3 linked regions of the Macaca fascicularis genome follow. The protein of the gene in region 2 interacts with the protein of the main gene of each other region in a biochemical or structural test. Links are inferred from orthologs where the notes say so. Each region holds a gene or a part of one and is shown on either strand. Other genes may lie near its edges.

Evidence for each region. The genes of interacting proteins can lie anywhere in the genome.
Region 1: of the proteins of PRKCA (region 2) and H1-5, one has a biochemical effect on the other in vitro, tested with the Homo sapiens proteins (2 studies listed by BioGRID). The link is inferred for Macaca fascicularis from reciprocal best matches to the Homo sapiens genes PRKCA and H1-5.
Region 3: of the proteins of PRKCA (region 2) and MGMT, one has a biochemical effect on the other in vitro, tested with the Homo sapiens proteins (2 studies listed by BioGRID). The link is inferred for Macaca fascicularis from reciprocal best matches to the Homo sapiens genes PRKCA and MGMT.

The regions. Positions count from the first base shown.
Region 1 is NC_088378.1:145,269,922-145,274,548, reverse strand, and holds H1-5 (histone H1.5), read right to left. Parts: upstream 2,342-4,627; 5' UTR 2,283-2,341; coding exon 1,602-2,282; 3' UTR 937-1,601; downstream 1-936. Other genes in the region: histone H2A type 1-H-like, read left to right, coding at 323-715. UniProt on the Homo sapiens protein: Histone H1 protein binds to linker DNA between nucleosomes forming the macromolecular structure known as the chromatin fiber. Histones H1 are necessary for the condensation of nucleosome chains into higher-order structured fibers.
Region 2 is NC_088390.1:72,727,086-72,732,567, forward strand, and holds the start of PRKCA (protein kinase C alpha type), read left to right. Parts: upstream 1-1,789; 5' UTR 1,790-2,031; coding exon 2,032-2,204; intron 2,205-3,876; exon of another isoform or gene 3,877-3,951; coding exon of another isoform or gene 3,952-3,974; intron 3,975-5,292; coding exon 5,293-5,324; intron 5,325-5,482. UniProt on the Homo sapiens protein: Calcium-activated, phospholipid- and diacylglycerol (DAG)-dependent serine/threonine-protein kinase that is involved in positive and negative regulation of cell proliferation, apoptosis, differentiation, migration and adhesion, tumorigenesis, cardiac hypertrophy, angiogenesis, platelet function and inflammation, by directly phosphorylating targets such as RAF1, BCL2, CSPG4, TNNT2/CTNT, or activating signaling cascade involving MAPK1/3 (ERK1/2) and RAP1GAP.
Region 3 is NC_088383.1:138,442,172-138,447,819, reverse strand, and holds the start of MGMT (methylated-DNA--protein-cysteine methyltransferase), read right to left. Parts: upstream 3,237-5,648; 5' UTR 3,233-3,236; coding exon of another isoform or gene 3,152-3,232; exon of another isoform or gene 3,013-3,151; intron 1-3,012. UniProt on the Homo sapiens protein: Involved in the cellular defense against the biological effects of O6-methylguanine (O6-MeG) and O4-methylthymine (O4-MeT) in DNA. Repairs the methylated nucleobase in DNA by stoichiometrically transferring the methyl group to a cysteine residue in the enzyme.

The DNA.
Region 1 (4,627 bases), on a different chromosome or scaffold from region 2:
TGGGCGGCAGAGGGACACCATGTCTTTAAAAAAAAGAAGAAAAACCTGTGCGTTGTAACGTCCTATTCACGAATTCTTATGCAAATGAGGTGATTAATACATTAGTGTGTAGGACTGGTGGCGATTCTAGATGACGTCATATGCATTTTTGTCCAATCCAAAGAAACGTGTTTCATAACAGCGATTCCATTGGTTTAAATAAAACTGCAATTTGAGCCAATGGCACAGCTTTATTTTCGCGCCCAGTATTGACTATAAGTAGTGGAGTTCTGGCAAAGTTCTCTAATTTCTTCTCAGTTTGTCTACCGATCGTTTCTTCGTCATGTCTGGACGCGGCAAGCAGGGAGGAAAAGCTCGCGCCAAGGCGAAGACCCGCTCTTCTCGGGCTGGTCTCCAGTTTCCCGTGGGCAGAGTGCACCGGCTGCTCCGCAAGGGCAACTATGCTGAGCGTGTCGGGGCCGGCGCCCCGGTGTATCTTGCGGCGGTGCTGGAGTACCTGACCGCCGAGATCCTGGAGCTGGCGGGCAACGCCGCCCGCGACAACAAGAAGACCCGTATTATCCCGCGTCACCTGCAGCTGGCCATCCGTAACGACGAGGAGCTCAACAAGCTGCTGGGCAAAGTGACCATCGCTCAGGGTGGTGTCCTGCCCAACATTCAGGCCGTGCTACTGCCCAAGAAGACCGAGAGTCATCACAAGGCCAAGAGCAAATAATGTCTCCATAGCGTCACTTTACAATACAACGGCTCTTTTCAGAGCCACTTACTATTTCTGCGGGAGAGCTGGGCCACTGGTTAAACATTCGGAACGTTTATTGTGAAAAGAAAAGCATTTTTCATCTAAAGCTTAGTAATGACTTTAGGGAAAACCTTACAGGATTCAGGTGACTTGTTTAAGTCAGAATGTGAACAAGTCATTTAATACAGGGCTTACAAGAGTGTTCGCTGTGTTTATTCATCGCGTGTTATATGTACTAGAGCCAATAAGAAAAAAATCCAGGGCCAGGCGCAGTGGCTCACGCCTGTAATCCCAGCACTTTTGGAAGCTGAGGCGGGAAGATCGCTGAAGCTCATGAATTCGAGATCTGCCTAGGCATCATAGCCGATACAAAAATTAGCCGGGCGGCATGGTGCATACCTTTAGTCCTAGCACTTCAGAGGCTGAAGTGAGACAATCGTTTGAGTGGGGGAGGCTGAGGCTGCAGTGATCCGAGCCCGCGCCACTGCACGCCAGCCTGAGTGACAGAGCGAGACTCTGACTCGGGTAAAGAAAAAAAGGAATCCAGTACAGAATGATAGTCATATCAAATTGGCTATATCAATGCCGAACACAGTAACGCCGAAGTAGCTGGCGCCTAAGTGGCTTAAACGCGGAGAAACCACGTACTGATGATGGAACAAAACTGACCAATCAGATTATAGAGCGGGGCTTTTAAAATTTAAGAAGCTTCTTTGTAGCTAGGCGTCAGACAAAGTTTGACACCAACTTCGAAAACTGCCTGCCTGATCTAACACATTGTGCACAGCAATTTTTTAGAGATCTCTGGGTGGCTCTGAAAAGAGCCTTTGGGGCTTTGTTGCGGTTTTCACACGCCAGCTTCCTACTTCTTTTTGGCAGCCGCCTTCTTGGCCTTTGCAGCTTTAGGTTTTGCTGCTTTGGGCTTAGCGGCTTTGGGCTTTGCCGCTTTCGGCTTAACTGCCTTGGGCTTGGCAGGACTCTTGGTTGCCTTTTTCGGTTTGGCCGCGGCCTTGGCCTTCTTAGGGCTCTTCGCCACTTTTTTGACGCCAGCCGCCGCGGGTTTCTTCGCCTTCTTCGGAGTCTTCTTCACTGCCTTTTTCGCCCCTGCAGCCTTCTTGGGCTTCTTAGGCGTGGCCCCCGCGGGTTTCTTAGCTTTAGCGGCGCCTGCCTTCTTGGCTTTGGGCTTAGCTTCCCCGGAGGCCGCCTTTTTGTTGAGTTTAAAGGAGCCAGAAGCACCAGTGCCCTTGGTCTGCACCAGGGTGCCCTTGCTCACCAAGCTCTTGAGGCCCAGCTTGATGCGGCTGTTATTCTTCTCCACGTCGTAGCCACCGGCCGCTAAGGCCTTCTTAAGAGCTGCCAAAGAAAGGCCATTGCGCTCCTTAGAAGCTGCCACAGCCTTGGTGATCAGCTCTGAGACTGGGGGCCCAGTCGCTTTGCGCTTAGCCGCGCCAGCGCCGGCCGCCTTCTTAGTTGCCTTCTTCTTAGCGGGGGATTTCTCCACAGGCGCTGGGGTGGCTGTTTCGGCAGGAGCGGTTTCCGACATGGTGGCAAGAAACTGCTAGAAGAGAATAAGCTCAAAATCCAAAGAGCAAGTTTTGCATTGCTGCTATGCTCGGGCCCCGGGCTTATATAAGCCGGCGCTGCCCTGTGATTGGTGGAGCGTCCAATCCACCGCCCTCTGGCCGCCGCCGCTCGCTGTTGGACTCCCAAATTGTGTTTGTTAGTCCTCAAAATTTGATTAAATGCTTAAAACAACGGTACAGAATTTGGCACTTTGAAGCTCCAAAGGAGGAAAACAGCCTCCAGGTTCACATACTTGTTTGTGTTTTCACGAATCTCGTGCAATTGATGAAAGATATTTTTAAAAATCCCTTCTGCTTTTCACAAGAATCCAATGGGCTGAGGGCATCATGTTAGTTAGTAGCGTGTCGCGATAAATTTCTATTAAGTATCCGGTGAAAGTTATTTTTTAAAATTCGCCCATGAGTTCACGCTTTGATTTTTGCAAGAGAAAAGACACTGGGTTCCTTGGTTTGGGCATGAACTTTGTTTCTAACTGTAGCAAGTAACACAGGCACGGGACAGCTGGTTGCCTACAGCCCCAACTTAACCACACAGACTTGACTTTACAAACTGGTTCTGTGTCCTAGGAGTTTCCATGTGCTGATGTCTTTACAGAATGGGATTTTTCAGCTTGGAAAAGTTCCACGGTCAGAGTGACTTCTTCTGCATTGCAGCACCAGTAATTCAAGTCGCTTTGACTTAAGAATCCAACTACCCAGATTCAAATTCAAACTTAAATGTGTTATGTTTTCTAATTGAAGTGTTTTCCCTTTTTAGTTCCTGGGCAAATCCATTAAAAAGTGGAAGAAAAATAACAGATAATTCAGTTTAGAGAAAATTCAAACCTGCGGAAAATTATTCAAGAGCGCCCTGTCATCCTCAAATACACAAACTGTTTAGGGGACCCAGGATTCTGTTAGGTTTTCAAAATGTTCTCACTGCTCCCCCTGAGTCTCCACCCACATTTAACAAGCTGCACCATCAGGAGTACTCTCTTCTATAAGCAGCCAGGATACATCAATATGGGTATTTTTGTGTGTTTAAATGCTAGTATTTTAGAAGAATATCTGGCTATTGACTGAAAAGATTGGATGGGATATTGAGCGACTTCAGGTTATAGAAGTTCAGAGGAACTCAGGAAAACACAGGCAAATACATTGAGGTTGAAATAAATGGTGAAGTTTACGATTTATAGGATGTGGAGGGGATTGGACAGGATGCCTGGATGATAAAAATGATCAAATAATGATTTGGATTCCTAATGAAATCAACAGTCACTTATTTCTCACCCTTGAAATGCTGTGCAAGAAAATTTAAAGTAGCCAACACATTTCATCTTCTCTCTAAGAACTCCTGGAGAGGTTGGCAGACTATGGCCAAATCTGGACAATGGCTTGTTTCTGTATGGCCCTCAAGCTAAGAAGTGTCTTTACATTTTAACAGTATTGTTTAAAACAAAAACAAAAACAAAGGCTGGGCACGGTGGTTCATGTCTGTAATCTCAGCACTGGGGAAGACCGGGATAGGAGGGTTGCTTGATTTCAGGAGTTCAAGACCAGCCTGGGCAACGTAGTGAAACCTTATCTCTACTAAAAATACAAAAAATATTGCTGGGTGTGGTGGTGCATGCCTGTAGTCTCAGCTACTTGGGAGACTGAGGTGGGAGGATCACTTGAATTCAGGGTGTCAAGGCTGCAGTGAGCAGTGATAGCACCACTGCACTCCAGCCTGGGCAATGGAGCAAGATGCTGTCTCGAACAAGCAAACAAACTAAAAACTAAAAAGAATGTGTGACAGAGACTATATATGGCCTTTAAACTCCAAACTATTTATTATCTAGCCCTTTTGCTGTGTTATAAATTTATCCACAGAGACACAGATTTTGTACAGGCCTCTTACCAAACAATGCAAATTGAGAACTAAAGAAAAGGAGATCTTCACAAGAAAATGTTCTAACCAAGCACTTTCTGCTGTTCCAAACACAAAACTTAGAAGGTCCAGGAGAAAAAAACCCCAAAACTCCATGCGTAGTGGGAGCAGGGGTATAACAATAAGAGCTGACACTCATTCAGCATTTACTACCTGCCAGGAAGTAATCTTAAATATGTTCTACAGGTTTCTATTAATTTGCCACATTTACAGCTATGCAGCATGAGGCCCAGATAGAGAATGAATAACTTGCCAAAGGTTATACAGCTATGAAGTGGCAGCTCTAAATTTTAAACCTAGAAACATGGCCTCAGCTCCATTATGGAGGGAAAATCCTTGAAGAGGTGAGAAGAGAACTATCTTTGAAGCTTGGAAGAGGCAGTGTCAAGTTGCTCC
Region 2 (5,482 bases):
AAAGATGACTCTGAGAAAAGAAATTATTTCATTCCACTATGTTCCATTGGATTTCTGCTTTGCTTAAAAGCAGAAACAACCATGGCTTGAGATGCTTCTAGTGTTTCATGGAGAATTGGGACTATTTCCCCGACATGCCCTGCTCTTCATTCCTCTTTGCTTCTTCCCTTTTTGCCTCCTTGGACTCGAGAGGCGACCATAAGTGGTGAAATTTCTCACCAGATAGAACGCCAGGCAGGTGCAGCTCTTGAAGCACCAAGACTGGCTCAAGAGATTGTAAATGGATCTGTCAAGTGCATGCGCCACTGATGTTCAGTCAGGAGAGCTTCCATTTGTTAAAAATATAAAGGACATTCCTATCATCAAGCATCACAATTACGCAAACTCAAAGAAAACAATGTTAGCTCTACTTGGCCTATGTTATACGCTCTAAGAAAGTATTTTAGAAAAATTTTTTTTTCTTTTAACAAAAATTTATTGAAGGATCAAACGTGTTCTCTTTCTTGATGTCTTTAGCTCGTAAAGTCGTTTTGGGAACTTCGTGCATCTGGCAAATAAAATAAAACACCAATGAAATGCTGAGAAATGATTATTTCCCTTAAGTATTTTAGCGGCCTCCAGGCAGACCTGATAAATATTCAGCGAGTGATTAGCTGGTGCATCCCCACCTGCGTCCTTTGCATAGCCATGTCCGCTACTCTTTCACAGGCAGTTTTACTTGGTAATTTACAAATGTACCGGCTGCACTCTGCACCTGACAGTATTGCAGTAATTAGCTTGGGATGCAAAATGATTTCTAAATTAAGGTCCTAGACTTGCAAAATCAAGAAAGCCTGATAATCAACATCGTCCCTCTGATGGCCAGTGAATAACGGGATAAATACCTAAGACAAGTCCTTTAACCATCCCACGTGGTGTTAAATGCCCGACGTACAAATTAAAAGCCTCTACGACACGCAGGTGAAATACGGTATAGGTCAAGAAGAGAAGGTAGGGGAAAGGGTCAATGCTTAATTAGTTAAAAATCGCTGTCTTCCTCCTGTAGGAAGGTCTAGAGCCTGTGTCCTTTAGGGCACACGTGATGAAAGCGACATTTTGGCCAGGTGAAACCTCAAGCTGGTACAGGCTGCTAACACACGGGCGTCGTGCCCCGGAGACATCGGGGGTCCTGAAGATGGGGAAGGGACTCCCTGTTGCGTGTGCTCAGGGGTTAGCGGGTGAGCACCGGGCGGGAGGCTCCGGGGCAGGGGCTGCGCGTGGAGCCCACTCCGGAACGCGGGCTCCTCTCGGCCCGGCACGGACGGCGCAGGACTCCGAGCCCGTCGATAAGACAGAGAGAGAGCGGGAGTGGGAGGAGGAAGACGGGGAGAGGAGGAGGCCGGACGGCAGGAGCGGAAGAAGAGGAGGAGAACTGAGGCGGAGGAGGGCGAGAGGGAGGAGAGCCGGGAGCAGGAAGGGAGGAAAGAAAAAGGCGGCGGAGGAGCGCGCACCCGCCACTCCCGCCCTCCTCCTCCTCCGCATCCCCACTCGGGCTGGCCCTCCCCGGGCCGCCCGCCGCCGCCGCTCCCTGTTCAGTCTTCCCAGCACCGCCAGGCGCCCTCTGCCTCCTCCGCACTCGGCGCGGCCCGCTCGGCGCCGCCGCCGCCCCCCCCGCGCGCTCCCGGCCCGCGCGCCCCCGCCGTTCTCGTCCGCGCGGCCTCGCGCTCGGGGCATGCGCGGTGGGCGGCGCCGCTCCGGGCCGCCTCTGCCGCCGCGAGTAGGAAGCGCGAGCGCCGGGCGCCGGGCTGTCAGTGAGCCTGGGGCCAGCGGGCGAGCCAGCGGCTCAGGCTCCGGCTCCGGCTCCCGCTCTGCGCCGCACCGGCCTGACTCTCCCCGGTCCCCGCCGCGCCCCCTCGCCGCGACCTCGGCCACCGGCCCGCGCCCCCCGCCCGGGGTCGCCCCGAGCCCGCACCTCTCCGCCGCCGCCCCCGCCCACCCGGCCCTCCGCGGCCGCCGCTCCCCGGCGGAGGCAAGAGGTGGTTGGGGGGGACCATGGCTGACGTTTTCCCGGCCAACGACTCCACGGCGTCTCAGGACGTGGCCAACCGCTTCGCCCGCAAAGGGGCGCTGAGGCAGAAGAACGTGCACGAGGTGAAGGACCACAAATTCATCGCGCGCTTCTTCAAGCAGCCCACCTTCTGCAGCCACTGCACCGACTTCATCTGGTAGGTGCCGGGCCGGGCACCCCTGCCCCGCTCCTCCCCGCCCCTGGGTCCCGGTCCCCGGCGCGCCGGCAAGTCCGCCCCGGGGCTGGCTCACTCCGAGAACTTGGAACCGGCGGGAGTCCTAACTCTCGCCCGGAGTGACACGCGCTCCCGGCCCTGACACCGGCGGGCAGGACTCCCGGGACGTCGCCGCCCCGCCACACACACCCCCTGGCGCCGGAGGGAGGCTGGCCCCGTGCGGTGGCGGCGGGGATCTTTCCCCGGGCCGGGCCCCTCACCTCCCCGGGGGCGCCCACCCGCACGCACCCAGCGGAGCGGCCGCTTGCCGGGGTGGGAGCCCAGTGGACAGGGGAGGAGGAGAGGCCCGAAGGAGCGAAGGTTCCCGGAGAAACGCGTCCCGGAGTAACGGGGGAGCGGCGGCGATTCCGCTGCGCGGTCCAAGTTGCTGGCGAGCCAGGCTGGGCGCGTTCGGGGGGGTGTGTTTGTGCTTCCCATCGGGCTGGACCGCGCTGGAATCTTGGGCCCCTGCCTACTGTAGGCTGCATCTACTGGGCACGGACAGACTTTGACTTTTCTGAGTGAGCAGAGAGAGAGAGAACAAACTGTTGAAAGCTTGCAGTGGGGGAGGGAGAGTTCGAGCAGGCAAATGGCACAAGGGCAGAGGGACTCATTTAAAATAGACCCTGTCGGCCAGGCGCGGTGGCTCACGCCTGTGATCCCAGCACTTTGGGAGGCCGAGGCAGGCGGATCACCTGAAGTCAGGTGTTCGAGACCAGCCTGGCCAACATGGTGAAATCCCGTACTACTAAAAGTACAAAATTTGCGGGCGTGGTGGCAGACGCCTGTAATTCCAGCTACTCGGGAGGCTGAGACAGGAGACTCGCTTGAACCCGGGAGGCGGAGGCTGCAGTGAGCCGAGATCGGGCCACTGCACTCCAGCCTGGTCGAGACAGAGCGAGACTCCGTCTCAAAAAAAATTAAAATAGACCCTGTCAACACGAGATTAGACCTGTAACCCTGTTGATGAGGACAGAGGCCTTATTTAAGAAAAATAACATAAGGGCCAGAGGTGTCAGAGTTCAGGTAATCGCCAATGAATTCAGGCATTCTTAACTCGGAGGATCCTTGGGGGCTTATGGAGAATCGATACATAGAAGGGCTTCAGGGGTCTCTGAACCCTGCAAAACTGGGTGAAATTGTGTTTGTGAATCTTTTTGCTGGTGAGAGAATTACAGCTTTCATCTGATTCTCAAAAGTGTGTGACCCTTCTTCCCAGCTCCCCGTCACCACACAGAAGTTTAGAAAGCTGGAACTAAAGGAGCTCTAGGTCCTCTAGTTAGAGCAGCAGTAGTTTGGTTTTTCTCTTAGATTGCCGGATGCCCTGACTCTTCTACCTCTTCTTTGTCGTGTAGCAATTTCCTGACAAGACAGAGCTATGGCTAGGGCTTCTTAGCTCCCTCCCCTTCTAGGCCAGGGGGAGCTACCCAGGGTGGCAGTCATGGAGTGAATCCTGCCACCAGCCAGCTGTGTGGCACAGGTATCTTGGGCCATTAGAGTGAACATAATATGGATGGATCTGTCTGAATCCATCACACCTGGGGAAAAACATCCCAAAGGTCAGGTCCCATGATCGTGGTGCTAATAAGGTGTTTAATTTTTCCTTTCCTTTTTAGACATCTGCTCCCAAGTACACTTTTACGAAAAGCACAGCCACCTCTATGAGTGATTTCCACTGTCTAGTCAGCATATGAAGCGATTGTGCTCAAAGGAGTAGGTAATCGTAGATAAGGCTATTTAAAATACAATTTCGGAGCATCAGGGCAAAGAGAATATTGCATTTGGTTAAGAGGAGGTGGTCAACTGTGAGAGTCCATTAAAAGGGAACAGACTGCTGGTGACTTTTGCAGGAAGTGGGAGAGTTAGAAAGGGACTTGCAGCCGACCGAGGCTAGCTAGTGTCTTTCCACTGTCAGTTGCCCTTGAAGGATCAGCCCTTGGTGAGCTGAAGAGGCGCTCAGGTCACTAGCAGTGTTGTGAAGTGGAAGATAAAGGCCCCCCTGAGTATCCCTGCAGCTCTCTGCATTTAATTGTAAACCAACCAATTGGAAGTCCCAGGAAACCATCTACAGGGATTGTCTTTTTCAGTTTGCTTTCATTATTGTTTCTACGGGGTCCTTGATTTGCAAGTTTATTTCAATATTAAATCACTGATATTTTTAAGTGAAATGTTTAGAGTTCATTATGGTTTTTGGTGAGGGGGGATGACTCTTAAGTTAATTTTAAAAGTATGTGAAATACTTTGTGCATTAAACATTCTATGTGAAGCAAGAGGTTATGACGCTCAGCCTTCTGAAGAAATGTTAATGCAGTTAATCCTAGTAGAACAATACCTGCAATTGAATGTCCATGTCAGGGTTCTCTGCTTACAGAGTAAATTCTCTAAAGTCATTTACAAGAACAAAATACCCTCCGTATGTGCTTTGACTGCTGTCGGTTCTCAGTAGAAATTAGATCATGGTAATCTCAAATGCAAACAATAGGAATGATATTTTCTAGCATCTGGTTCCTTAAGCCAAAATTAAATGTTAAAAGTGATGCCGTTTGGCAATTTCTAGACACATAATACTTTAAACAAATGCATAATAAGTAAGCCCACTTTGTTGCCTTTAGGGAGGAAAAAAAAAACAATTTTCATTTGGTCTTCGGGAACAAAATTAAGTAACTTCCTTTTAAAATTTTAACCATAAACTCTTTTGTTACTTGAATATTGTATTGTAGCCAACAAGTTTGAATACACAGTCATGTTCTTGTCTTGAAATTTAAGTATCGATAACATAGTATAAAAAATTGAAAAGAAGCTTGATATATTGGAATAGTTCAGTGATCCTTTATAGGCAAGATTTTTTTTCCCCTCAAAGTTGAATTTACACAGTAATCTGACTAGATATTTAGGTATGTTTTTTCTATTAAGTCATTGGGTTTCACGTACAAACCTTTAGTAGTGGAGTACTTGGTCACATAACTTGTTTGAAATATGCTATCCAACGCAAAATATGTTAAGAGATTTTGTTTTTGTTTTTGTTTTTCAGGGGGTTTGGGAAACAGGGCTTCCAGTGCCAAGGTAAGCTGCCACTTTTGATTTTATTTTCAAGCACAACATGAAATAAGCATTCCAAACAAGAACAGTATTTCCAGTCATCTTTTCTTTCCAATAAGAAAAAGGTTATTCAGATAATGTTTTTGAAATATGAGGGCTGTAAATTTGGGCCTTAAATAATT
Region 3 (5,648 bases), on a different chromosome or scaffold from region 2:
CGCAGCCCTCCTATATAAGCTGTACTGTCAATTTTTTTAAGTCAAAAAAAAAAAACAGACTATTTCCACCAACCAGCAGACATGCAGCAGTTAATGAAAAGCCACAGAACATACATCTTGCAACATTTGGTCCACAACACAAGGTCTCCAACTTCTACTTAGCTCTGCCCAAGACAGGCCTGCAGAGCTAACAGCATAGGTTCACAAACTCCTCATGCCAACCAACGGCCCTCCTGGACAGCTCAAACCTCCTCCCTCCCAGATAAACCCTTTCACTTCAAACCAAGAGTGGGGCGTAGGGCTGGCTTGTACATCATGAGTGTCTATATAAAGACCATACCACCCCACGGTCAGGTTATGGTTTATGTGTCTCTGACTTTAAATCCTTCAGGTCTGGTTTAAATAATATCCTGCAGGGCCAGACACGGTGGCTCATGCCTGTAATCCCAGCACTTTGGGAGGTCTAGGAGGGAAGATCACTTGAGTCCAGGAGTTCGAGACCACCCTAGGCAATATAGGGAGACCCTGCCTTTAAAAAAAAATATTAGCCAGGCATGGTGGCACACACCTGTAGTCCCCGCTACTCAGGAGGTCAAAGCAGGAGGTTCACTTGAGCCCAGGAGTTTGAGGCTGCAGTGAGCTATGCACTCCAGCCTGGGCGACAGAGCAAGCCCTTGTCTCTAAAAGTAATAAAATAATATTCTGTGGTAAGACCCGAGCCCAGAAAGTAGCTGGATCAAAAGCTACCTGTCCCAGGAAACAGAGAGTCAGGAAGGACTGTAGCAGCAGCCCAAGAGCCAAATGAGTACAGGGCCCTTCAGGGTCTGGGAGGTTCAATGTGTCCCCTGGAGGAACTAGAGTCCCAAAGGGAAGTCAAAAACCTCACGGCAAGTGGATCTGAACAAGGAACTTTATGCTGGGGAAGGGGGTCAGAATGAAGCGCAAAAACAAAGAATAATGCTAAAGGAAAAGATAATGCAGAAAATTCAGTTTTGCCTTCATTTTCTTTCTATCAAAAAGAATATACTATAAATTGAAAAGGGTATTAACACCAAAAAAAAAAAAAAAAACCAACCGGAAGGTTTGAGTCACTGGCTCCTAAACGTATGTCCTCTGCAAAACAGGACAATTTAGTAAGTTTATTTTATTATAAAATACCAGAAGAGTCAGGGCTTTGGTGTCCTAAGAAAGGGTAGGAAGAAGACTGGAGAGGAACAAACTCTAAGGGGGCAATGGGGAAGGCAAGTTCTTTTTCAGGCCTTCCTGCCCCCTTCTTCCCTGCAAAAGAAGAGAGGAGGCCCTGATTGAGACACCTGGGAAGGAAACCCAAACAATGAAAGGTAAGCCCCAGGTGTTATCAACGTAAGACCTCAACAAGTTTCAAGAATCTGAGCAGCTGAACAAAGTGCTACCCAATGTTACCTAGGGCTCTATTTCTTTCAACCTTACTAACAGCAAAGCCTTTTTAAAGTAGTGCCTAATACTATTAGTTAAATCGTTATTGTGATACAGATTTTTTTTTCCTTTGGGACAGAGTTTCACTCTCGTTGCCCAGGCTGGAGTGCAATGGCGCAATCTCAGCTCACTGCAACCTCCACCTCCCAGGTTCAAGAAATTCTCCTGCCTCAGCCTCCCAAGTAGCTGGGATTACAGGCACGCACCACCACACCTGGATAATTTTTGTATTTTTAGTAGAAACGGGGTTTCACCATGTTGGTCAGGCTGGTCTCCAACTTCCGACCTCGGGTGATCCACCCACCACAGCCTCCCAAAGTGCTGGGATTACAGGCGTGAGCCACCGTGCCTGGCCCAGATATTTTTTATTATTATTAAAATATATACATTGAAAAGTACCTGAGTATAGCTCTGTACTGGAGGCCTACTTCATCCAGGCCCCTGACTGTGGCAGATACCACCCCACTATTCAAATTCTAACAGGAGAGGGAGGGCCCAGGAAGACAGATACGACAGGCGGCAGAGTAAGGCCAGCTCTCCTCTGCTACTTGCAGGCACACTCTGGGTACCAGCAAGTATCCTGGCCCTCTGAGTTAATGTGTTGTTAACAATCAGCCAGGCTCTTGACGCGGTTTCCTTCAAAGTTTTCACAGCCCCACCCACCAAGTGTGCTAAGCTTTCGTTTTTTTAAAATCTGTTCATCTCTCAGAGTGTTTTAGCCACTGAGTGGGCCCTGAAAATAACAAAACCATCTCCTAGTCACCTGCCCAGGGATGGGGCAGATGACGGGAGAGTCTGCCTTCACAGATACTCTATAGGTTTATATTTGGATGTCTATGTAAATAACCAGTCTAATTCTCAGCTCTCTGTGCTTAACTCTCTCTGCTTAATATTCTACTGAGAACAGCTGTGGTGACCCCTCTCCGGACCAAGCCGCTTCCCTCAGTCTGATGATGGTCCCAGCAGGCAAAGGTTGCACACACATGTACAAAGTCTGCTTTCCAGGACAGAAAGCCAGCTACCCAGCTGAGGCAACTGAGAGCAAACACCACCCTGAGATTTCAGGAGATGATGAACCCAGGAGTGCGAAATACATAGTTCAGAACTCCTCTGCGGTGTTGTCACCAATGTGGGAATTACGGCGCCCAGTGTGTGTGGCTCTCCAGCGAGCCTTGCTTACTCCCAGGTATTGATGAATACAATTAGGGTGTGAGGTACACAAACACCAGCCATGGTTAGGAGGAGGCCCCTAGAACTTGGCCTCCAGCAGGAAGGAAATATGGGACTCTGCCCAAGTATGCTAAAGGCTTGCTGCAAGCCAAGGCCCGCGCAGGGGCTTCTGGAAGCTTCCCGGAGCAGCTGGCGGAGGGAAAGCTGGCAGCATGGAGGGGCAGGAAGAACCCGGGGCCCGGGCCTGGAGCCGGCACCCGGAGGTAAGGCAGGGGCTGCCACGAACCCCGCCACACGCCAGGCCACAGTCACTGCAGCGCAGCTTGGTCCAGAAACCCTAGGCCCGGGGGAAGGCTGGGCAACACTTTGGAGGCACTTGGGGCGCACCTGGAGTTCGCCCGGGGTAGGTGGCTGTCAGGGCGGCCCCAGACCCGAGTGAGGGCGCCTGCAGGACCACTCGAGACTGCCGCCGTCCCGAGGCAGAGCCCCGCAACTCTGCCGGGAGCGAGGCGACCCAGACACTCACCAAGTCGCAAACGGTGCGGACCGCGAGGACCTGCGGGCGCCGGCACGCAAAGCGTTCTAGTGGCGCGGGCCGTCCCAGCATATCCGGGGCGCGGGGGCGGGGCCGAGGGGGCGCGGGGCTGGCGGCATGGGGCGGGATCTAGAGCGGGGCGGAGCCGAGGACCTGAGAAAAGCAAGAGAGCGCGCGGGGGCGGGGCCGGGGCGCGCGGGGGCGGGGGCCGGGGCGGGGCGGGGTGTTCCCGCCCGACCGGGTCGGCGCATGCCCAGTGCGGCGGCGCCGGACCTGAGCCACTCTGCGCAGCCTCGCTGGATGCCGACGCGCGGGCCCGGGTCCTGCAGCAGCGCTAGCTACTCTGTGCGCCTGACACCCCGGCCCTTTGGCCGGTACAAACCAGGCAGCGCCTTCCCAGCTTCCGCCTCAGGTTCTGTGCCTTAGTTTGCCAAATAGCCCATACCTTTTCCTGTCACAGGGATAGTCCGCGGGCGTGCAAGCGACCTGCCACGTGCCCGAGTGGTCCTGAAGGCGCGCGGGGGTCGTAGGACGGCGCCCGCTTAGTGAGAATCCCAGTCCTGCTCGGGGCGGCTACACTGAGCCCGGAGCGCGAGTCTCTCCCCTCCTGAGGCCGCTTCCCGGGTCAGGGACCCTCAGACCAGCAGAGACCCTGTCAGGGGGCCGTGGGGCAGCCTCCAGGGCCTGTGGTGGGCGGTCCCGTCCAGGCGCTGCAGTCACCGATGGCCTAGACACGGCCAGGGCCTGACTCAGTCGCTCTGCAGAAAGCGCACAGGGTGCCAGGCCCTGCTTGGGGTTGTGTGGACATTATTAGGAGCTGAATTGTGTCCACCAGAAAAGCTATGTTGGAGTCCTAACTCCCAGTACCTCACAGTGTGACCATACTTGGATATGGGGACTTTACAGAGGTAACAAGTTAAAATGAAGCCATCAATTAGTGGGCCCCTCATCCAGTAGGACTCGTGTCCTTATAGGCAGAAGGCCGCGTGGGGAGGAGGAGTGGAGGGCTGCACCTGCAAGCCGCCAGAAGCCGAAGAGGATAGACTCTTCCCTGGAGCCTTCGGAGGGAGCAGGGTCCTAACACACCTTGGTTTCAAACTTCTGGCCCCCGGAAGTGTGAGACAATAGGTTTCTGTTGTTTAAAGCCACTCAGTGTGTGGCACTTTATTATGGCAGCCCCAGGCAATGGGTACGGAAACCATTGTCTCTAACATGGTTGGCATAACCACCCCAGGGAGTAGTATCATCCCTGGAGGCTTCGGAGAGGTCACACACCCCTTGGCAGTTTCAAGGATCCCATCCGATGCCCACATGCTCTAAGGCACCATGCTATGGGCCTTCTAGGTTCTGTTATCTTAATGGAAAGGGGTCTTCGCCTTCCCAGTGTAGCTTCCCAGCTGGGATTTGGCCAATGCTCATACCTTCGTATTTGTGACTTGCAGGATCCAACATGTTAGCATGAGTGATAAGGGTTGTTCAGAGGAGAACTTCAGCAGGATTTGCTTTGGGATGAGCCCCGGTGACAATACAGGCTGCATCATTGATCCTCTGAGGTTCCTCACCCTGGACCGTGCCTTGGATGAGACATGTTTTAAATGGCTGGTTGTGGAAAATAAACTAGGCCCTGAGTACACAGTATAATGGTCAAATCAGGGCACTTTTTCCCCACTGAGCCTGGACACAGCCTCGGAATCCTTCTTAATACTGTGTTCCAAGCAGCTATTCACATTTCAACTAATGTGGAAGGAGAGATGAAACATGTTTGGCCTTGGCTCTGGTTTTTTCTATCAGCCTTCTGTAAGACTTTGGGAAACTCATCTGACTTCTCTAATCCTCAGTTTCATACTCTGTAAAGGAGTCTTATGATCATGTACTGTGCATGTATACAAACTATCCTTCCATATTAGGCCATGTGTGCATAGGGAAAATAAACCACCAGCACCACACCATACTACTGAGAAATGATGCTATACACCCGGCCGCTTACAGCCTGTTACTACCAGGACCCAGTTAGAACCAGGATCCCAATAGAACCAAAGGAAAAACAATGCCGAAATGGAATCAGAGTGCCGACCAGTATTCTAACAAGTGTGCTGTTAAGTAGTTTTGCAGTTAACACAGGACTCATACGTTTATCTGAATAATATTTTCAGACGAATCCCTAAACTCTTAAGAAAAAGAGACTGGCCCGTCTTAGCATCTCTCATTCCCCACCCTAGGAAAGAAAGGCCAATGTGGTCATCCAAAGGCCCTTTAGGAGGGCCCTGTGGGAATGGGGAGGTGGTCCACGAGAGAAAGTGCTGGCTTCCTGGGGAGACGTGTGGACCTGGCCCTGGCTCCACTGACAGGACTCAGTCCCGTTGCTGGTGTGGTAGGAAGGACTATATGAAGGGCCACAGCTACTTCAGTGGTAAGGACTGTGTCAGGGCTCCAAGATCAGGAGCCGAATGTGGGTCTCAGCGCAGAGGGGCAAGAGGGAAAAGGCCAC